Notamacropus eugenii: one gene and its partners. The protein of the gene in region 3 interacts with the protein of the main gene of each other region in a biochemical or structural test. Links are inferred from orthologs where the notes say so. Each region holds a gene or a part of one and is shown on either strand. Other genes may lie near its edges.

The links. The genes of interacting proteins can lie anywhere in the genome.
Region 1: the proteins of SNTA1 (region 3) and proto-oncogene Mas interact in a test that uses a peptide from one of them, tested with the Homo sapiens proteins (2 studies listed by BioGRID and IntAct). The link is inferred for Notamacropus eugenii from reciprocal best matches to the Homo sapiens genes SNTA1 and MAS1.
Region 2: the proteins of SNTA1 (region 3) and ADRB1 interact in a test that uses a peptide from one of them, tested with the Homo sapiens proteins (2 studies listed by BioGRID and IntAct). The link is inferred for Notamacropus eugenii from reciprocal best matches to the Homo sapiens genes SNTA1 and ADRB1.

What each region holds. Positions count from the first base shown.
Region 1 is NC_092873.1:253,575,224-253,583,105, reverse strand, and holds the start of proto-oncogene Mas, read right to left. Parts: upstream 3,018-7,882; 5' UTR 2,870-3,017; intron 1,829-2,869; exon of another isoform or gene 1,771-1,828; intron 1-1,770. UniProt on the Homo sapiens protein: Receptor for angiotensin 1-7. Acts specifically as a functional antagonist of AGTR1 (angiotensin-2 type 1 receptor), although it up-regulates AGTR1 receptor levels.
Region 2 is NC_092872.1:192,519,152-192,526,188, reverse strand, and holds ADRB1 (beta-1 adrenergic receptor), read right to left. Parts: upstream 3,018-7,037; 5' UTR 2,922-3,017; coding exon 1,491-2,921; intron 1,251-1,490; coding exon 1,209-1,250; 3' UTR 434-1,208; downstream 1-433. UniProt on the Homo sapiens protein: Beta-adrenergic receptors mediate the catecholamine-induced activation of adenylate cyclase through the action of G proteins. This receptor binds epinephrine and norepinephrine with approximately equal affinity.
Region 3 is NC_092872.1:417,512,347-417,519,981, forward strand, and holds the start of SNTA1 (alpha-1-syntrophin), read right to left. Parts: upstream 3,003-7,635; 5' UTR 2,739-3,002; coding exon 2,402-2,738; intron 92-2,401; coding exon 1-91. UniProt on the Homo sapiens protein: Adapter protein that binds to and probably organizes the subcellular localization of a variety of membrane proteins. May link various receptors to the actin cytoskeleton and the extracellular matrix via the dystrophin glycoprotein complex.

The DNA.
Region 1 (7,882 bases), on a different chromosome or scaffold from region 3:
CAAAGAGCTTATACTGATTAAAACCTGGAGAAAGGGGAGTGTAAAGACACAGTTTCTACAACAGCAAAGAATGAGTGAATAAAGTTTTTAGAGCTTTCAGAGCATTATGGTCTTTCATCCCATCTGTAGATGTTTTATGACTAAAGAAGGTGAAAATAACAAGAAATTGTATCAGCAGCTGGCTGCTGATGTAAGATTTTTAAAGGATTGTTGATGTGATAGGGGAAATTGGGGGTTACTCCTTCATGAGGGAAATGTGGGTCACTGAAAGGTAGGAGGCTATCTTTTAAGCTATTAAAGTAGGCAGAAATGGACACGGGGCGCTGGAAAAAGGAATCTGTGACGACACACAGCAGGGGGCCAAACCCCGTGCTCTCCGAGCGATGGCAGTTAAGAATCGGTCAGGGGACAGGTTTCAGCTATGTGATCCCCGGTTGGCAGGAGAGACTCGACTTAATTGGCTAAGGGTTTCCTGACATCTGTTGCCCTTCAGTGCCACCTATCGTTGGAAAGAGGTGAGGCGTCTCCTAAGGGTCTACTGCTCTCTACTGCCATCTCTGGCTTCAGAAAGAAAAGCAGAGAAGGCTTTATAGTTGCTTTTGGTAGCTGAGTGAGCCAGTCAAGTCAGTTTTCCTGGCTTAAAAGAGATAAACTGTATTGCTATGAGATTGATTACACAATGAAGCACCTGGGTGAGAGAATCCCTGAGATAACCACTCTGATGAGCTTTGCAGTTCTCTTCAAGAGAATTGCTATTCATATTAATAGGTTAACATTTTCTAAACACCTTTCTAATGGTGATTATAAATTGGAGTTTGGAAATGCACTATTGGAGTAAAGAGAATTTCCTAGCCGAAGAGTTGGTGAGGACTAACCATCAGGAGCAGAAAAAGTTACCTGTGGTGCATGTTTTCTTGAATGAAGGAAGGATATTAGAACTTGCATTCAAGAGCTGTAATGACTAAACTCTTAAATCAAGATAATTTCCAGTTTAAATTAGGTGAATACAGAACAATGCAATTGAGGATGAATGCTCCCACAGCACCTAGATTGGCTTTACTAACTCAGTTATTCTCAATCATTTTTCTTTTGGTTCTAAGCACAGTACTCATGGCACATTGAATGTTTAAGTTGCTACTTCACCCTCTCTTGCAAGAAAAAAAAAGGATTCTTCCAACAGATGCAAATCACCATCTTCTCCACAATTTTTAATCTCAGAGAACTGCCTGACTTACCCAGGGACATACAGCCAGTATGTGTCAGAAGGAGGACTTGAATTCAGGTCTTCAATCTCTACTCACCATGCTGGGCTGCTTCTCACTCCCAGGTCCAGGTCTATCTGGATGGATGGATGGATGGATGGATGGATGCAGGCTAGTAATTATTAGTATGAAAGTTAAATTACAGTTTTAATGTAATGCCTTTCCCATTAACTAGCTGTGTGACCTTGGCAAAGTCATAACTTTTGGGGCTCTCCTACTCCTCATCTATAGTTGTTGTCTGTCCTTCATTCTGGAAGAGGACCAATAGCATGAGGGCAGTAATGTCTTGACTTGCAAGTGAATTAGATTTCAGGGAGGCAAACACCTGCAAAGTCATTAGCCTCACTCTCTCCTCCAGAGTGCTAACTCAAAACAACTGGCCATAGCCCAGGATGCTGTGGGAGACCTTGGCCTTTGTAAGCCAAGGGCTTTCCCAGGTCTCAGTTTGTCTGAAGCAGCCCACCAGGATTCTTCTGTACACTGAGAGTAAAGGATTTTCCAACTTTACCTTGTTTGCTGGCCTTTTGGAAAGATGGACCTCAAGCCTGTAAATTCTATGTCCAAACCTACAGGTGAAATTCATAAAAGGAAAGGAAGTCCATTTGTGAACAGAGGACCACATTAGTCACCAGGCAGTATTTAGTGAGCACTCAGCAGGCAGGATGCTGTAAGCCTAATGCAAAACGAATGGCTTCACATGTAGAACGGATATCGTATTTCTTGCCTTTACAAATGGATGGTGGAGGGAAGGAGAGAATTTGCAACTAAAAGTAAAGATAAGTTTTCTAAAAAGATGAATGCAGAACGATATTGGGGAGCAAAAATGGATGTGACGTCATCGATTTGTATGTTTCCTCATCTCCTCTCATTCTTGTCTACGTTCTCCCACAGATTCTTGGCCAGATTCTGACCTAACCGAAGGGGTGACCAAGGAAGCTTGTCCACCAGTAAGCAGACCTGGGGACAACAGGACCAATGGGCATGCGGGGCTCAGAATTAAGCAGAGGACGGGGTCCGGGGCTGCCTTCAGGAGCCTGCAAAGCTTGGGCTCTCCGAAGGCCAGGAGAGGAGAAACAGGAAGACTGGCAAACAGCCCAACTGGCCCCAGCCCTCCGAGCCTCCCTGGCTGAGGCTCAGGACTCACTGGGAGCTGGACCTCCGAGGGGGCAATTCGGCTCCCGGTTAAGGGCAGACACCTTCCAGCCCGCAGGGAAGCCCTAACCCAAAGCCAGGGCAGCGGGGCGGGAGTCAGAAGACCACGGAGCAGAAGCGGTTCCGATGCGCCTCTACCACTAACTGGCGGGGGACCCGGAGGGATGGGATGGGGTGGGATGGGACGGCATGGCCTCCCTGCTCTGCCCGCTCCGTTCCCTCGCCTGTAAAACGCAAGGGCCGGACACTCGCGGCCGTGGGCCGTGGAGCCGGGTCCCGCCCCCCCAGTGACACAGGAGGACGCGGGGCAGCTGCCCAGGCCCGGGGGGGCCTCTCCCGCCCAGCGCTCAGCCCAGGCCCGCAGCCGCGACGCCACAGGCGCCCGGGCCCTCGCTCCCTCGGGACGTCCCTGCCGGGCCGCGCGGACCAGGGGAGGGGCGTGGGGGCTTCTGTACCCAGAAAGTCGGAGCCCAGAATGAGCTCCTCCAGCAGGGGCAGCTTCTGCTCAAAGGCGTCGGCGCCCACCTCCATGGCCAACCACGTGCGCACTGAGGCCCGCTCAGCGGAGCCAGGCCCAGACCCTCGGCTTCTTAAAGGGGAAGCGCCCCCGCCCCCGCCCGAGGCCACGCGAGGGGCACGTGGGGCGATGGGGAGGGGGGAGGGGAAAGCAGCAAGAGGAGGAAGCGGGTGCGGAGGAAGGACTGAAGGGGAAGAGGAGAGAACGAGGCAGAAGGGGGAATATGAGAAACAAAGGAAGGGGCCCTGTTTCCACAGGGTTAGCACCACTCCCTCCCAGCTTTGCAGACGGGATAACAGGATGTAGCCAGAGGCACTGGTTCTGATGGGAGCCTGCTTAACGAGCTGTTTAATATTCTCCAACACACCCCCAGGGCGGGGCAGGTAAATGTAAATGCACATTGATGTACGACCAGGGAGGGGGAACATACCCAGGAGAACAAGCAATGGCTGGGACCTAGCATTCAGACAATGGAGAATAAGAAGGGGGGGGGGGGTGATTTGAATGGGGAACAGGCAGTAAGTAGCCTTCCATTTGTCTGAGCTAATTGTGTGGGATGGCTCAGGTCCCTACATAAATCAGTTACTCAGAGGCCTCTCAAAGTGATGACAGAAAAGTGATTTATTCAATTCTGGAGAAGCCGGGCTTACCTGTAGGAGTAGAAAAGCCGAAGACAAAGAAAAGATTTATATAGACCCTTCGTTACGCAAGTCCCTCCTCCCCCACTGACCATTATCCTCATTAGCTGAGAATATGATCTCACATTCTAGACACGAAATCTAACCAATCCCTTTGGAAATAAAGACATGGAGAAATTATGTAAGTTTTGTCCAATCATTGAAACCCTAATACACTACAGTTTTACATCCTTATATGGAACTATTCTATTCTAAAAATATTGTAACCTTGAGCCTTCAGGCCTTACCTCACCCCTGGGAGAAGAATTACAATCTGAGAAGTCTTCACTAAACCTATCCCACTCATAATGTACTCCTTTGGGGAGTTACCCATTCACAGGGCATGTAAAATAAACGTAAACTCAAACGGGAGCTTTCCTGGCTTCAGCACCAAGCATTGTTCTTTCTAGAGCAACAGGATTCTCACTGGAAGACTGAAGGAAGGAAGGGACGGACAAAGGGGAAGAGAAAGAAGGGAGAGAGAGAAAGGGAAGAGGGAAAGGCTCAGGTATGGAATGAACAGGTCACACTACACAATTGTTAACGTTCCCTTCAGCTCTCAAGACCTCATGATTATGTGATTCTCAGGCAGAGAATAAGGAGACTCCTTACCACAAAGCAAACAGAATGACTGGACACAGGAATAATTAAGGAAGTTGTTTCTCTAAACTTACTTGTGCAACTTGGGTTGTCCAGGGTTAAAGTACACATTGACTCGTGAGCAGAAGGAGCCCAGCTAAATTTAGAGCAAACATTTTATTTTGGATTGTGCCGCCTTGAGAATGCTAACTTTTCACATTTCCACTTTCCCAGACTACAGGCAGAGACACCGGTACAGGGAAGCCTGCTCTGGAGCTGGGGGTGGCGGGGGGAGCTAAGTCTGCAAGAGAGATTTCCCCAACCTGCCTTGTACATTACCACTTAGTTGCCATTTCATTACAACCCTCCTGGAAAGGTGACTGGAGCAAATTACTTAACCTCTCTGGTCCTGACTTCCTTCATCTGTGACCTCTAAAGTTCTTCCAGTTCTGATCCTAGGACTCTCCAATCCACTAGGGACCTTCCTCTGAAACAGCATGCAGTCTATTCAACTGGAAGCAGCTAGACACTCTAGAGATCTGGACTTAAAGTCAGCAAGACCCAAGTTCACATTGGACTTTAGACACACTTATTAGCTGAGTGACTCTGGGCAAAGCACTTAACTTGGCTGCCTCGGTTTCCTCAGCTGTAAAATGAGGTTAATAATAGCACTAAGGTTATTATCAGGATTAAAAGGGATATTTATGAAGCACTTAGCACAGTGCCCAGAGTGTAGTAGGTACTTAGTAAATGTTCATTCCTTCTTTTCCTTTCAGTTATCCCTAGGCCCTGGGTAGCTAGGTGGTGCAGTGGATAACAAGTACTGCGTCTGTTGTCAGGAAGACCTGAGTTTAAATCTGGCCTTTGATACTTACTGGCTGTGTGACCCTGGGCAAGTCACTTAACCTTGTTTGCCTCAGTTTCCTCATCTGTCAAATGAGCTAGAGAAGGAAATGGCAAACCACTCTGGTATCTTCCCCCCCCCCTCAAAAAAAAGCCAACTGGGGTCACAAAGAGTCAGACACAACTGAAAATGACTGGACAAGTCCCTTACTTCGACATCTTCATTCCTTTCCAGGCTGCACTTCTGACTCTCCTGGGTCTTTCTCTATGATACCCCAGAAATCTCCTCACCCTGGAAACTCGGTCTAATCCAGGACTTCACACATTAGAAATATGTACCCCCTACTTTGGCTTTGCACATGGTAACCTGTATGTAACCTGAGATGTATAAATCTTTGCAGAGACAAATAGCATGCAACGTAAGTAACTGGAATGAAGGGTGGCAAAAGGTATCACATACATCACAAGTATAACTCTTATTCTCTTTACCTAAAATAGCTCTTAGTAACTATTGTTCTCTACATTTTCTTGTTTACATCATGTTTAGACAAATGATAACATTCCCCTACAAAGGGAATTCAAAAATGCACTATGCAGACTTAGGACCTTACCTCACTAGTCCTCATCCTTCCTGCTCCTATCTACTGGTTAACAAGAAAGCAAAAGACAAAAACAAACAAAAAAAAAGAACCCTCTCTAGGAAATACAAATAAAATTAAGTCAAACAAGGGTGGGTAGAAAGGGAAAGAAAAGAAGGGAAGAAGTAGAAAAGGGTCATCCCTAGTACCATCTACAAGCTTTGAGGACTAAAAGCCCTGGATATTTTAGGATTTGGGGCAGCTAAGTGGTGCAGTAGATAGACTACTAGACCTAAAATCAAGAAGACTCATCTTCCTGAGTCCAAATTTAGCCTTAGACACTAGTTATGTGACCCTAGGCAAATCATTTAACCCTCTTTGTCTCAGTTTCTTCTTCTGTAAAATAACCTGGAGAGGGAAATGACAAACAACTCCCAAAAAATCCCAAATGGGTCATGAGTACAACTTAACATTATTTTAGGATATCTTTCCCCAACGATAAAATCTACTAGATCGTAGAATAGTTTCCCCAAAAGAATCTAGAGGAAACTGAGTCATTAAAATAAATTAATTCATAATAATAAGCAGGTAGAACCATCTGTTCAGTCAGTCAACATTTATTAAGCATCTATCTGCCACAAATTGTGCTAAGCACTGTGGATACAAAGAACGGTAAAAAATAGTCCTTGCCCTCCAGTAGCTAACAATCTCTTACCCCCCCAGAACAGAAATAAAGTATTTTCCATATCTTGTTTTCCATTATACAAAAATACATTAGAGTGGGAAGAACGTAAAGGGGAAGATTGGTAGATTTATTTCTAAGAAGAGTACTATAGATTCTTAAGGTTAGAAAGAGCAGCTTTTCCTCTTGCCAGTTAAAAAGGTCCCAAATTCTAACTTCTACCATACAAATTGCCCCATAGTGATTATTTTCTGTTGTTACTAGAATTTTGTAAAAACTGCATGCGAAAATAATTTTTTTTTTCCTAGGGAAGGTAAGTGGCATGAATTATAAGTTATATCTTTATTTAAAAAAAAAACCTCACCCCAAAGAGATCAAAGAAAGAGGAAAAGGACCCATTTGCACAAAAATATAGCAGCAATTTGTGTCATCAAAGAAACTAAGGAGGTGCCCATTAGCTAGGGAATGACCGAACAAATGCAATGAAACACTGTTTATCCCCTATGAAATGACAAAAGGGGCAGTTTCAGAGAAACCTGGGAAGACTTGTATAAACTGATGCAGAATGAAGTGAGCAGAGCCAGTGGAACAATTTATACTATAACAGCACTATAAAAACAATGTTGAAAGACTTTAGAATTCTAATCAATGTAATGATCAACTATAATTACAGGGGACCAATGATAAAGCATGTTAATGCTACCTACCTCCTGAAAGAGAGGTGATAGACTCAGGATGCAGAACAAGGTCTTTTTGGACATGATCAATGTAGAAATTTGTTTTGATTAACCATGCACATTTGTTACAAGGATTTGGCTTTTCTTTTTTCAATGGGGGGAAGTCAAAAAGAAAATACTCACACTCACACTGAAGAACTAGGAAGTCTGAATTTTGAAGGAGTATCAGTATATCAATACTCAGTCAAAACCCAGACTTCCCAGGTCCTCAATCTACTCAATTTTCATAATATTCCTCCATTCTTTCTCAGCTACAAAGATGATTATATCTTGCCATCACCACAGGTGGAGACACCACCACTGGAGATATAGTGGACCGGGTTAGCACAGGAATGATTTCCTTCTGTACCATTTAGCAGCATGGGAATAAAAGCAGATAAGGTGATGGTGGGAATAATCCAAGTATGGGGTTTGAAAAGGGATGAGTGACAATTGGATAAAAGAGGCACAGTATTCAATGGCAAAAAGACAGCTCAAGTGGAACTGCTTTTATAGGGTCAAGATTCTGAAGACAGGAAAAGAGTGATTTATGTAGTTGTGTCCCTTTAGAAATTAAAAAAATAACTCCGATGGACTTATAAAAAATGCCATCCATCCCCAGACAAAGAATTAATGGTGTCTGAATGCAGATTGAAGCATACTTTTTAAAAACTTTATTTTTCTTGATTTTTTTTTTGTTTTCTTTCACAACTTGACTATTATGGAAGTGTTTTACATGACTAGTTGTGTATAACCTGTATCGAATTATTTGCCTTTTCAGTGGGAGGTGGGGAAAGGGAGAGAATTTGGAGCTCAAAGTTTTAAAAATGAATTTTAAAAATTGTTTTTACATGTAACTGGGAAAAATAAAATACT
Region 2 (7,037 bases), about 220 Mb from region 3:
TTGATTGTGCTGCATTTGTATTTATTGCACATAGACCATTTACTTACACAGTAGTTAGTTGCACCAGAGTATAAATACTTTATAAAATACACAGGAGGAAATTGAAAGGACACACAAGTGCTAAATTAACAGCAGATTCACGTGAGCACTTGGACGTACAAAAATAATAAAAAAAATCCTTATATTTAAATTTTTAGTATGGATACAGTTACAGTACCATGATAAAATAGTATAAAAAGTCATTTTTTTCAATAAAACATCAACTCAGTAATATAACAGACAAAAAAGTAGAGTTTGGATTTCAGATTATTTTCAACTCCCTCTCCTCCCCTCATTAAATGGTTTTTTTTTTGTGTGTGTGTATGTGTGTGCAAGTAATATCTTCAGTGGACTTTACAATTTCTAACACTGTGCAAAAAAGCATTTTGAACCATTCTTTTTATTTTCTTTTTCCAAATGTGCAGTAATTTTTCTCGACCCTAAGACTGTTTCCTCTCTCCAAATTGTGAGAGTCACGTGTCACAGAGGCTGGCGCCTGGTCCTTTAACTAATATTGATACATAAATAATCTGTTTAATATAAACATATCTTTAAAAAAAAATCCCTGTGCAATATGCACAGTTTGAGGTAGGAATCCCTCTGCCTCATCACCATTGCCAAGACGAAACAGGAAAGCCAGGTTGTTTGTTCTAAATAAAACTCGTAAAAGGTGAACGTGATTTTTGCAACCTTTCCACTTTGCTTTCTTTAAAGATGTCACCATTCAGACTTTGAAACAATAATGACAAAAATCTTTCGTGGAACCGAGAAAAACCCTGTCCCATCAAACTTTCCAGATTCCTTTTCTCTTACTTTGACTGGTCCAGTTCCCGGGAATTGGATGGGAACAGGTGATAGTCTTCCAAAGCAGGATTATTAAGTGCAGCTCTTGGAGAAACCAAGTGGATGGTTTTTCTTTTTCTTTTTTTTTTTCTGAATCCCATCTTCTTTTCTCCATCCCACTTATCTAACCAGTTAACACTTTCTCAATCCTTGCCTGAAGGATCAGAATTAGAGTGGAAAAGGTAAAACAGGCATCTTCCCCCCAGAAGTCAGGAAGAAAAGTCCAAAAATCCCAACTCCCCCCGTCCCCAACTTTCCTTCTTTTCAACGGTCCAGTTGCTTTTGTTTGTCGCGGATGATTCAGAAGAGGTATGAAGGATACGCTATCACCTGCTTTCGGTCTTGAGTAAACACAGATCCTCCCTTCCCTGTGAAGACAGTTCAGGGCTGTTGGCTCTCTTCCTCTTGAACTTCCAAACCAGTTTCCTGGGTGGGGGTGTGGGGAAGGGGCGGGGGGGGAAGCCCCACTCCCCCATTCCTCCCCGACGGCCCCCCACCGCGAAACCACCTGCCCTGTAGCCCCCGCCAGAAAGTAAAAAGAAAACACAAGCCCGGCCCCCTCCTCCGCCCCACCGCCCCCTGCCCCTGCCCAGCGGCCGGTCCTATACCTTGGATTCCGAATACGAATCTTTGCCGTCCCTGTCCTCCAGGCTGGAGTCGCTGTCCCCGGTCGCCCCGCCGTTGCAGCCGGCCCAGGGCTCCAGGTAGTGAGGCGCCGAGGGAAGCAGCTCCCCCTGCTCCGCGTCGGCGGCCGCGGGGGACGGGCTGCCGCAGCCCGCGGCCGAGCTGCCGCAGCCCCCGGTCGTGGCGGCCCCGGAGCCCCCGCGCGACAGCTCCCCGGCGCTGGCGTGGAGCCGCCGCTCGGCCCGGCGCGGGCAGCACAGGAGCCGCTTGAAGGCCTTGCGGAAGTCCGGGCTGCGGCAGTAGATGATGGGGTTGAAGGCCGAGTTGGCGTAGCCCAGCCAGTTGAAGAAGACGAAGAGCCAGTTGGGCACCAAGTCCCGGTGGAAGACCTTCACCACGTTGGCGAGGAAGAAGGGCAGCCAGCAGAGGGTGAACACGCCCATGATGATGCCCAGCGTCTTGAGCGCCTTCTGCTCCTTGAGGGCCACGAGGCGCGACGGCCGCCGCTTGCCGGGGCGCCCGTTGGCCAGCGGCGCGCGCGACGGGCCCGGCTGGCGGGGCGCCGGCGGCGGCGAGGGCGAGGGCGGCGGGCGGGGGCCGCCGTAGAAGCGCCGCTCGCAGCGGTCGATCTTCTTCACCTGCTTCTGCGCCTCGCGGAAGACGCGCAGGTAGACGAAGGCCATGATGGACAGCGGCACGTAGAAGGAGACCACGGAGGAGGCGATGGCGTACGCGCGGTTGGTGACAAAGTCGCAGCACTTGGGGTCGTTGTAGCAGAGCCGCGCCTCGTCGCCGTCCGCCCGCCACCAGTGCATGAGGATGGGCAGGAAGGACACGAGCGCCGAGATGGCCCACACGGTGCACACGAGCGCCCGCGCCCGCGGCCGGGTCAGCAGGCTCTGGTAGCGGAACGGGGACGTGATGGCGATGTAGCGGTCCAGGGCGATGACACACAGCGTCTCGATGCTGGCGGTGACACACAGGACGTCCACCGACGTCCAGAACTCGCAGAAGAAGGAGCCGTACTCCCAGCGGCCCCACACCACGATGGTGGCCCCGAAGGGCACCACGAGCAGCCCCATGACCAGGTCGGCGCTGGCCAGGGAGATGATGAAGAGGTTGGTGAGCGTCTGCAGACGCTGCGTCTTGGCGATGGCCACGATCACCAGGACGTTGCCCGCCACAATGAGCAGCACGATCAGGGCCATGAGCATGCCCATGCCCGCCGTCCACTGCTGGGATAGGGCCGCGGGCGCCGGCGTCGTCGAGGTCAGCAGAGAGGCGGCCGGGGAGGCGGGCACCAGCAGCCGGGCGGCCGTGGCTGCCGCGGCCTCCCCGCCCGCCCCGTCGGGGGCCGGCGAAGGAGACGACAGGTTGTAGGGCTCGTAGCCTAAGCCGAGCGCACCATCTCCCATGGTGAGGAGGCAGGAGCTGAAGTCTCGGGGTGGGGACGGAGCCCGGAGAGCCTAGAGGTGGGAGGGGACGGCGAGAGAGGTCAGGGCCGGGGCCGGGGCCGGGGCCAGGTCAGGCCAGCTGCGTGCAGCAGCGCGGAGCCCCGGACCTCGGCGCCGGCTGCTGCCTCCCTCCTCTCGCAGGCTGCGGCTGTAGCTGCTGTCGCTGCCAACACTTCAGCATGTTTCTGAGCGCTCCGGTCTGGCAGCTCCTGCACCCAGCACCCCACCCTAACCCACAGTTAGCTCCCCCCAACCCAGCCCCGGAGGCCTCGCGTCAGTGTCCTGCGGCCAATCAGGGGCCAAGGCACGCCCCCGTTTTGTCCCCCACCCCCCTCCTCCGCCTTACTGCCCTCCCACGGGCAATTAAGTGGCTCCGGGGAGCCTGGTGAGGGGGGGCGGCATGAGCACGGATCTCAGCCCTGCGCTGGGGGAACGGGGGACGGGGGCTCTGGATCCTTAGCGAAGGAAACGTGTGCTCCGTCCCACTGCAAAGGGCTTGCTGGGTTCGGAGGGGAGGAGACTGAGGGTGTTAAAGAGAAGGGCGGTTTGGAAAGTCGGGCTGGAGGAGTTGGGCTGTTTGTCTGATTCTCGGATCCGAAAACCTGGCGGTGTCCCCTGGTCAGAGGGGCCTGGGCAGCCTCACACCCGTCGGTTCAGGGGGATCAGAGAAGGGTGTTATCCGCTAGAGAGAAACTCCCAAGCAGCGCTACGGGTTTCGCAGGGGGGATAACCACGCATCTGTCAGGAGCGCTTTGTGGGCGCTAGGCTTCTAAGAAGCTCGGGCTGCTCCAGGCGGTAGTTACATAAAAGAAGCGAAGGTTGTGCATCTAACGATGGAGACTAATTGGAAAAACACACACACCCAAATCCAAATCCCAGCTAATGAATGTGTAAGTATGATGCAACCGTGTGTGGATAATACAAAGAGAGGTTTAAGGAAACGCAAATGTTAGCGTACAAAGTAAATGACACTTCCTACAAAAAAGAGCGTGTTTAATTACAGTTCAAACCTTTCACACTCAGTAATAACACCTGTATTTTGTTTTGTTACTCACATGATTTATTATTCTAAGAGGTTCAAAACAAACAGAAAAAAGTGCTGTCAGTTTGGGTTGACGTAATGAACAGGGACTTCTGATTTCTCAGTTTGATCAGTTGTTTTCTCCCTTGCCCAAGTTCCCAGATTCTTAAAACTCTGGGATTAATTTTGTAAGGATGAGAAGAGAAAATATGTAAATACTCAAGAGGATTAAAATCCCAAAGCATTTAAAGAAGTATAGCGATGACTTTTGAATTGCCAAAAGAACATGTTTCAAATTAGCCAGTTGTTAACCCTTCTGAAGGCAGGGTTGGTATTATCTTGGTATTATCACCAGCACCCAAAGCAGCACAAGACTAGATAAAAGTAAATCTGCAAATGCAAGGAAGAAAAACATGAATCTGCAGCTATATGGCCTTGATACAGGCTTTTAATTCCATGTATAAATAGAAATACTGAATAATGAACATATATGTATGTTCACATGTATGCCCACATTATAAGAATAAGAAACGGCACTCCTGCAATGAAATCTGGCACCTGGATGGCAGGCAAATTCTTCACTAGCAGAGGAATTGGTTTTTACAACCATACTGGAGTGCTTAGCTCTCCAAGCATGCAGTGCAGATGCAATAAACAATGTCTGTTAAATATTGTAAGGTCACTTCTCAGACATATAACTTATGCATTTCTTGAATTCAGCCATAAAAATTGCTTCAGGCCCAAACCTGACCTACAAGAGGACACCATCAGGGAGTGATTTGTTTATTCTGCATTTGTTTAACTCTGCCCTGAGATTTACCAGCCTGCCTCCTACCAATGGAGTAACCATCCTAAGGTAACTACAAACCTGTGTCAAGCTTAAGCACATGCCCATCTTCCTCCTTATCTGGAGAGAGTCTCAAAATAGATCAGGGCCCTGGAAAGGATTGGAAATGGTGCTGCTCTGTGATGGGGAGAGGACAGGAAGGCTGTCGATCAGTCACCATCACTGTCAAGTGTTACAGGAAGAGATTCTACTGGCCTTAAATATCGCAGAAGGACAGTAGACTATTGATTATATTTCTGTGAGAGATAAAAAAATATTTGGTTGTATGGGCGTTTAAAGGCTTAGTTGTCAATAAATTGACTATAATCATATGCAGGAATGCTCTAAATATATGGAAGTATGTGACTTGTATAAGACTCTAAATGTAACAAACCCCCTCCCCCTGCCAAGTTTTAGGAAATTCTTATAACAGGGTACTCTGATTCCCTGTTTTAGAAATGTGTTAACAACATGAATATTCAAAACCGAAAAGCTACTTATATTATTGCTGATAGATCTTTAGAATAAAATACATAGAGTTTCTGTCTGATGATAAATATTAGAACTTCTCAGTTGAATTTGCTAAGTTGCAGTGATTTTAAGAAACCAAAAAAGAAAAAAAATGGAACAATTAATAACCATTTTGGTCCTTTAATATAATATATGGTTTGCATACTTTTAAAAATGAAACCTTACTAGGTTACCTCTAACTCCTTCATTTACTTATGAGAGATTGAGGTGGATTGTTAGCATTGCTTTGATATGGCTTCTTTCCCTTAAGTATACCAGGTCAAGAGGAGAAAGTTCAACATACCCACCTAGATTGTTCTTAATTATTTCATAAGTCATGACTTCGTATTTAAAATAGTTTTTTTCCCCTTCCTAGAAGTAGTTTTTAAAATGATCTCTATGAGGAACACACCCATGTAATCATTTGGATTGTCATCTAAACACATTGTTCTAAAGGGAATATCCAATAGTACATTTTGAAAGACTTGAGTCTTCCTTTGCAGTGTTTGAATCCAGCTTTCCTTAACATCCCCACTGTTGTTACTCCATGTCAAGCCCCCTATGTCATGTCTTAACCCCTGAAGTAATTTCCTAAGTAATCCCTCTGACCCCAGTCCTCCCCTCCTGTCCAGTGAGCACCTTTGCAGCATGACTGATCTTATTAAAATGCTACTTTAATCATTGATTGCTTCTGCATGAAAATGTTCAGTGACTCCCCAAACTTTAGCATGATCCCAACCTGACTTTCCAGGTTTAGCTACCACTTACTCCATAAACCAAACTATGTACCCAGCCCTCTCCTTAAGGTGAGGCCTCTTGCCTCTACTACTCTTGCTCATGGAATGCCCTGTCTTCTAGGGTCCATAAAAATCCTACCTATTTCTTGAGATCTAGCCCATATCAGGCTTGTTCTATATAGTTTTCTATTACTACCCCAGACTGAAGTAACTCTGATTTCTCTAAACTTATACAGTTCTCATTTTGTTTAGTTCATTTATCAAAGAGAGCTTGGTGCAGTGGATAGAAAACTGGTTTTGGAGCCAGGTGGATGGATCTAGTTTTAAGTTCTTCCTATACTGGCTGTGCTATTCCAGGCAAGTCATTGACCTCATGGAAAATCTTAATTTGCAGAGAAGGTGCTAACCCAGAATTCCATATGTCACTGAAATCAAGGATCTGGTCCCTCTCCCATTTGTGTGTTACCTTGGAACTTCTTTTCTAATTGTCTTGAACTGCTATTTAATGATGGTATTGTTAAATACCTTTCATGCTGTCTTCAGTTGTTTACCAAATGAGATTGTAAACCCTTTGGAAACACAGATAATATCTTGCTTAAAAGTTTTGTATCCCAATGGAATTTACTCTTGAGGTCTTGCATATAGTTGACACTTATTAACTGTGTGAGTCTGGGCAAGTCACTTAACTTCCTTTTGTCTCATCTGTAAAGCAGGGACAATAATATACAGGGGTGTTGTGAGGATCAAAAGAGATAAAATTAGTAAAGCACTCAGTACCTTGGTCAGCACATAGTAAGTACTATATAAATGTTAGTTATTATGAACCAAAATACTTGCTAGTTTGATTGAAATTGTTAACTAATACAAGCAAAATCTGTTTTTTCAGCTATATTATGCATCCATTTTATTATGTTGTGATTCTCCACATTTCCATATCTTTTATTATTAACTATTTTCATATAAATATTTTAAAATGCTTTAAA
Region 3 (7,635 bases):
GCATCGCCCACAAACAGAGCCTCTGTCTGGTCAGCTGCCAGCCCTTTGAAGATCTTGGAGATGAGAATGGGCATCTTGTTCTCTCGGCCACCTGAGGATGCACACACAGACAGGTATATATGTAGGCACACGCAGGAGATAAGGAAACAGGCATCAATGCCAGGGAATTGGGGTGACAGGTATTAAATAAGTACCTACTAGCATTATGAAAAGTATAGGAAAAGGCAGGAGGACCCTAAAAATGGAACCAGAGACCATTAGAACTGGAAGAGACTTCAGAGGTCATTCGTCCAAGCCTCTCCTTTTACACAGGGGAAGCTGAGGCTGGAGAGGGGGAGTGACCCACCCAAGGTCACACAGTAAGTCAGTGGTAGAACTGGAACTAGAACCCAGGTCTCCTGACTCCCAGGTCCAAGACTCATTCTGTTTTAACAGTTCTCTCCCCATTTTATGGAGGGACAGGTTGTGGCCTAGGAAGAGGAGGGGATTTAGCACAACCCCAGAGAGTACATTAGACTCAAAAAACTTATTTAGCAGAAAGGCTGTGTATGTGTGGTTAGGGGGGGAGAGGAAGTGGCCTTAGCTAAGAGGTTTTATGGCCTTTGGACCCTACCTCCAAGAAGAATACCAGACCTGAAGGGATAGCTCCAAGTTCATGAGCTGTTCTCCAAAGCAAAAAGTTAGTAGAACTCTAAACACAGCATTAGCTGAGACTGTCATGAACCCTCAATAGCCAAACTTCCAAACCAGGTTCAGGAGAAATGACTTCCCTTGAGGTGACAAGAACTCATCCTCAAATCCAAGAGAGAACTATAGATAGTGTGTCTTTCCCACTTGGAAAGGGCAGGGCTCTGTTCTCAATGGAGACCTAGCTGTCCACCTTTGCCAACTCCATGGAAAAGGAGGAGGGAGGCACAAGCAATGAGCAAAGGCAGAGGAGGATTATGGGGTACTCATAAAGAGCTGTGGGCTGAGGACTGGAAGACCTTGGTACGAGTCTCTTCGACTGCTGTTAATTTCCTGTGTGACCTAAGATAATTCATCTCCCCTCTTTTCACTCTCTACAAAATGATAAAGGGGTCAGTGGACGGTACTTGCTGCATGCTGTCTGATGGGAAATTCTATCCTAAGACTACGATAGCATTCAATCCTGCCATTCACATATCAGTCTGGAAGAGGTGATTCTTCCCCTTCCCCCCCAATATTCTAACTCTACCTCTAATGGCTCTTCCTGCTGATGTCTGGGGATATTTTGTCTGTTCTCTGCTACAAAAACCATCTGTGACCAGAAATGTCCTAATATGGCTCTGGGACCCAGGACAAAGGGACCTTCAGCCCTCTGAGAATTGTTACCCTATCCAGACCCATAAGCATCCACATAGCTCTTAGGGGAGAGAGAAATTAGGAGAGAGAAGTCAGGGAAAAGAGAGACTAGAGAAAAGAGAAATAAATAAGAGAAAGACATGAAAGGGGGAAAAATAAGGGAAGGGGAAGATTAGCGGAGATGAAGAAACCAGGACTGAAGTGGGAGGGATCATGGACTAAGATTCCCCCACCTTTATAATGGCCTGGAAGCCAGACCTTAATTTTATGGAAAGCTGAAGGACAAGGCAGATGGAGACGGCAGCAGTTCTGGTCTTCGAGCTGGGAGCCCTGGGTTCCAATTCTGCCTCTGATACTTCCTAGTCCTTAGCTTCTCTGGGGTTTCTTTACATGTAAAATGGTGGAGAACCTACTTTGTAAGCTTTAAAACCTACCAGGAGCAGAGCATCACTGTGAGGACAAAGGTGGGAGGGTCGAGGAGTGCTATGTAACAGGCTCGGGGAACTGGCACAGCAGAGGGCAGAGGGAGTCCTGCCTCACTTCCAGCCAGGGCCAACAGGCTGGACTGGAGAGTTTAGACCACAGTGGACAGGCACTACCCTGTGAGGGTTCCGTGGAGCTCCCGGAGACTCGGACTAGGAAGCAATGAGGCTACCATTGGAGCCAGGCTCCCAGCCAGTCCCCAGACTGGGCTGCTCTCCTCGCGGAGGCCCTGCCCACCAGCTCAGCCTGCCAGGCCCCGCTGTCCCGTGAAGTTTGCAGAGCGAGAAACTGGGTAAGAACTTGCGTTTGTCTCCATGTGGCCAGGTCGTGATCTTCAAGGGTCTGATCGGCTCCCACCGCGGTCACCCTCCCGCAAACGCTGGGACCCCGAAAGCCAGACAGGCAGTCAATCCGACAGACAGGGCAGTGCCCGGCACGGCGCCAGGACGCAGAGCGCCCCTCACCCCTCCTGTCTCTGTCGCTCTGCCATGCTGGGCTTCTTCACCTTCAGCCCGGCTCGGCTGCCCTCCCCACGTCCCGCTGCCGCCCCTGTGCTCCCGCCGTGTCCCCCAGCCCGTGCCCCTGGGGCCGCTACCTTTGATGCTGATGCCCAGTCCGCCCGCCTCCTGCTTCACCACACGCACGGTTCGCTTCTGGTTGAGCAGCGCGTGGGGCAGTGGAGGCGTTGGGGGCGCTCTGGGGGCTGCGGGCGCCCCGGAGTCCGAGCCGTTGAGCTGGGGCAAGGACGCGGACGCAGGCTCCGAGCCGGAGCCCGGCCCCGGCTCAGGCTCTCCGCTAGCCGGCGCGGCGCTCACCGTCACCACATCGGCTGCCAGGCTGACCAAGACCCGTAGCCAGGGCCCGGGCCCCGCGCTGCCCGGAGCCCGCAGCTCCAGTAGCCCGCTCTTCGGGGAGCGCCTACCCGCCGCCATCTTCAGAGCCAGGGAGCTGGAGAGCCCGGGAGCTAGAGAGCCAGCGGCCGGCGAGCGCTCCGGCCCCCTCCCCGCCCCTCCCCGCCCCTTTTCTACCCTTCCTCCCCGCCCCGCCGGCGGCCCGGGGGCACCGCGGGGGAGCCCAAGAGCGGGGGCACCGGGCACCGGGCCCAACTGCCACCCCGCCTCCCGCCCCTCGGCCGGGAGAGGAAGGGATACCGGTCACCCTTTTCTCGCCCTTCCGCGGGATCTCCGTTCCAAATTCCAGGACTGGACGGGGCGGGTTCTCCTGGCGTTCCTCTGCACGAGCTAAGTGTAGGTGCTGGAGGAAGCGCTTGGATGCCCCAAGGAAAGATGGAAAAGGAGACTGACCTCCACTCTCAGAGAAAGGTGGGCAAAACGAAGACCACCCCCTTCGGAAGACCCTTTTCCCAGCGTGCTCCCTAATTTTACAAATCAACAGACAAGACCAGAGAGGGAGATGATCTTGGCCAAGGTCACAGAGTTAACGGCTGAACAGGCTGATGGATGGAAGGCCAGGCTTGACCATGGCCCTGGCTATTCCATGCTCGAGTTTGGCTGCCTCCCTATGGCCTCTAGGAGAAAATAGAAATTCCTCTCTTTGGCCTCTAAAGCCCTTCACAACCTGACTCCAACCTATCTTTCATGGGTTATTCTTCACTCCCTCCCACTCTCCCACCCAGAAAATAGAGCATTTTCAGCCAAACTGGCCTACTTGCTATTACCTAACTAGAGGATATATCAACATTCCATCTGGCCTCTCTGTGTCTTTTCCCAGACTTTACTCCATGCCCAGATTCTCTGTCCTCCCTTTCTTGGTTCCAAATTCACTGCTCTTTCCACCTTGACCTTCATCAGTCATGTGCTGGTCCCGCTAGAGGGAGGTTGGTGGCCTAGATGTTTGACTGTGATTTCAAGAGGGGGCTCAGTCTACCCTAAAGTTAGATCCAGCAAGTAAAGAGTTAACCCAAGAGTTGGCTGATCTGACCAGCCCCTCACTCCTTTAGACCTATCAAACTCACAGAAATAGGATCCATTAATCCTTACATAAGGAACCCCCCCCCCCCAGGGATTTATTGACTTAGTTTTAAAATGCAATATATCTTTATTTTATTTCATTTTAATATTTCTGTTACATTTTACCCAGTTACACTTTAATCTGCTTCCAGCCATTCAAGAGTGTATTGTCTGTCTCCAACATGTGTTTAACTCCTCTGCCCTGGACCATGGGGCTTCAAAGAAAGATAGATTCATAGACTTTGAGTTGGAAGGTACCTTAGAGAGGTCATCTAATCCACCCCCTTCATTTTACCAATAAGGAAACTGAAACACACGGGTTAAGTGACTCACCTAAGATCATGAAGGCAGCATTCGGAGTGGATGTGTCAGGCTGTGACAAAATCACTGAGCAGATGGAGGTGATCTGATTAAGTCACTGGTCAGAGCTTTATGTGGCATCAACAGCCTTGACAATCCTTATTGGGAGAAGGGTGGCTGGTCCTCTGTCTTAAGTGGAGAGCCTCCCTGGCACCTTCTGTTTTTACTATTTCCCACCTAGGCCTTTGGGTTTTTTAGCCTTTCTCCCTGCCGTCAGGGGCAATAACTTTCCCAGCCAAAGGCTAAACTAACTCCTGCTAAAAAGATTTCGACACAGGACCACCATCCTCTCCACCAAGAGCTTCTGCCCTTATTCTCTTCTCTTTTCTATCCTGGTGTCCTGGGCTGAAGTAGATAGCCTCAGGAAATTTAGGATCATAGATATCCAGCTGTCTTTCAGACATCTCAAACTGGATGTTCAGTAGACATCTTATAGTCAATATGTCCAACAAAACAAAGCTCCTTATTTTTCGCTCTAAACCTTCTCCCCCTCTTACCTTCCATATGACTGTAAAGGGCAACACCATCCTCCCAGGCCCTCAGGCTCACAGCCTGGGAGTCATCCTGGATTCCTCACTGTCTTGCCCTTCCTCCCCCCTCCCATATCCAAGCTGTGGCCAAGACCTGTTGATTTTACCTTTGCAACATCTAATAAGCCCCCTTCTCTCCACTGCCATCACCCTAGCACAGGCCCTCATTACTTCCTGTCTAGACTATTGCTGTAGCCTGTTGGTTAGTCTGCGGTCCTCAAGTCTCTTCCCCCTCCAATCCATCTTCCACTTAACCATTAAAGTGATTTTCCTAAAGTGAAGGTCTGATCATGTTATCCCCCTACTCAGTAAACTCCATTGGCTCCCTGTTGCCTCCAGGATCAAATGAAAAATGCTGTGTTTGACATTCAAAGTCCTTTATAACCCATAGTTCCCTCCTAATTTTCTAGCCTTCTCATACCTTGAATCCTGCCATGTACTCTTTGGTCCAGTGATACTGGCCTCCTGGCTGTACCACAAACAAAACTTTAGGTCTCTGGTTGTCCCCCCTACTTGGAATGCTCTAACTGCTCCACTCTGACTACTGACCTCCCTAACTTTTAAGTTTTAACTAAAATCTACAGAAAGTCTTCCCCAACCTCTCTTAATTCTAGTGTTTTTACATAGTAGACACTTAATAACTGTTTATTGAATGAATAAATGAAAAAGAATGTAAAGCTAGAAGAGCCCTCAGAGATATCATTTAGTCTAACTTCCTTCTTTTACATATAAGGAAACTGAGGCTCAAGGAAATTGTGACTTGCCCCAAATCTATCAGTCAACAAGCATTTTTGGAGTCCTCACTATGTGCCAAGTGCTGTGCTAAGGGGATATACATGTCCTTTTTGGAATATACATAAGAAATAATGTACATCCCCAGATCCATCCATGAATGGATGATAGATGGATCCATGCAGCCTCTCCTGGGACCATCACCTCCTCTTTCTCCCCACCAGTAATCTTGTGGATTCCAGATTCTCCCCCAAGTCCTTGTGTTTTTGCCTTTATCTTGCAGGTGAATAGGGCCTCCCCTCCATTTCCTAGGCTGCCCATGTCATGGTCCCAAGAATGTGATCTCTCTTTATGTGTGATCTTCGGCTATTAGAATATAAGATCCTTATGGGCAAGTGGCAAGCAGAGGGGAACAAAGCCTGACCCACAATATGGCTTAATGAATGCTTTATCTATCTAACAGAATATCTCAGCAGGCAGATAGTCAAGAGCAGAGTTAGGATTTGAACTGGGATCTTCTGAAGCCAAGTCCATTTTTCTCCACTGCTTAGGCAACATGGTACACCAAAAAGCACATTGATCCTAGAGACAGAGGACCTGGGTTGAAACCCACAACCAAAGAAACTACCCAAGAGACTTTGGGGAAGTAATTTGACTTCTCTAGACCTCAATTGCCTCATCTGTAAAATGAGGTTGGATGAGGTGAACTGTGGGTTGTGGATCTATGATCCCCAAAGTCCTGTCTAGCTCTCTCAGGCTTTTTTTTAATCCTAGCCTTTCTGTCCTTATGTACAGCTGTAATCACATTGTTTCTCTGTTCAAAACCATGGAGTGTGTACCCCATTGCTCACTGAATACAGCCCAAGACCCTTATCGTTGCACTCAATCAGCCACCTCTGTACTTGTCAGCCTCATTTCCCATTGGCCTCCATTCATTCTATACTACATGATTCACCCTGCTTTGTAGTGTCTCATCCTTTCCTGTCTCTTTGTCTTTGCTCATCCTCCTCCCTCTCCACCTGTTGAATTCCTACCCTTCTCCCTGAAGCATCCCTTGATGCCCCTGGTTAAAAGTCATTTCTTCCTCACCCAGTCTCATAGCATTTAATACTTTTATACACTTGGGATCATAGAGTTTATTGCCTTCTAATCTGTTTTATAATTATTCCTGGCTATGTCTAAATTCTCCTGGGTGAGTTCCCTGACCCTGGAAGGGTCTTTAGCATTCATTTTAAAAAGCTGGCTCGGTTTCAGATGGAATTCAGATGCTACTGTGACAGGTGGACATTGATCTCTGAGGCAGCTCAGGCAAGGTCTGTCCAAGCCCAAATGGAGAAACACTTGAGCAACTGGACTGATATGGAGAGAACGTGGAGATAGCTAGAAAACACCCTCCCTCCTTGTCGCAACTCACACGTATGTTGAAAGGGGGACCTTCTGGAGACCATGTCAATACTTTTTTGGGAGGACTCTAGGGTAGGGCTTTCAGGCCACATAAAAGGGGTCCAACACTTTTTGCAAGCCTGTGGGGGGATACCAGCCTCTCCCATTCTAGCAGATAGACCCCAAATTCAGAGACTGGTCTGGTGACATGGTTCTGAGAGACGGTACCTCAGCACTTCGACCACTGTAAGTCAACAAAACCTGATTTGAGTCAAGGAAAAGGGTTGGCGTGCTCATGGTGCCAGCTGTCATGGCCACCTGTGCTGGGTCCCTTGGTTACATCTTGTTGCACTGGGGAGAACTGAAATGAGAATGTAGGGACTAGGGCTCAAGGCCCCTCTCACTTGTTGACAGGGGATCTAGGTGCTTCTGACCTTCAGCAGTGCCCAAATGGAAATGGAAATGATTGTTACAGAAGGGCTTGGGGGTGGGGATGAGTCAGGGGAATGAGGCCTGAAAGGGGCGGGTCCAGGACCAGGGCTCACACTCCCCTCCCCTTTTGCTCTCTGGCCAAAGTCACTGCCTCCCCGGCAGCCAATCCAACCATTTTCCCAGGCCCCAAACTCAAGATCTAGGTCCTTGAAAGTCTCCCCACGTTTGCACAAGGAAAGGATTTAATGAGAGTCTAGGCATCAAGTACAGCCTTTGAACCCCTTTGCTCCCTAAGGACTCATTGTCTTTCTATTAGCAGAGTGGAGAAGAAAAGTGAGCAAACCTCCTGGAAAATAGACAGTAGTCTGAAAGGGGCCATGTCAGAGACAGAGAGAAAAGTTGTCAGAGTGAGTGAGTGTGGA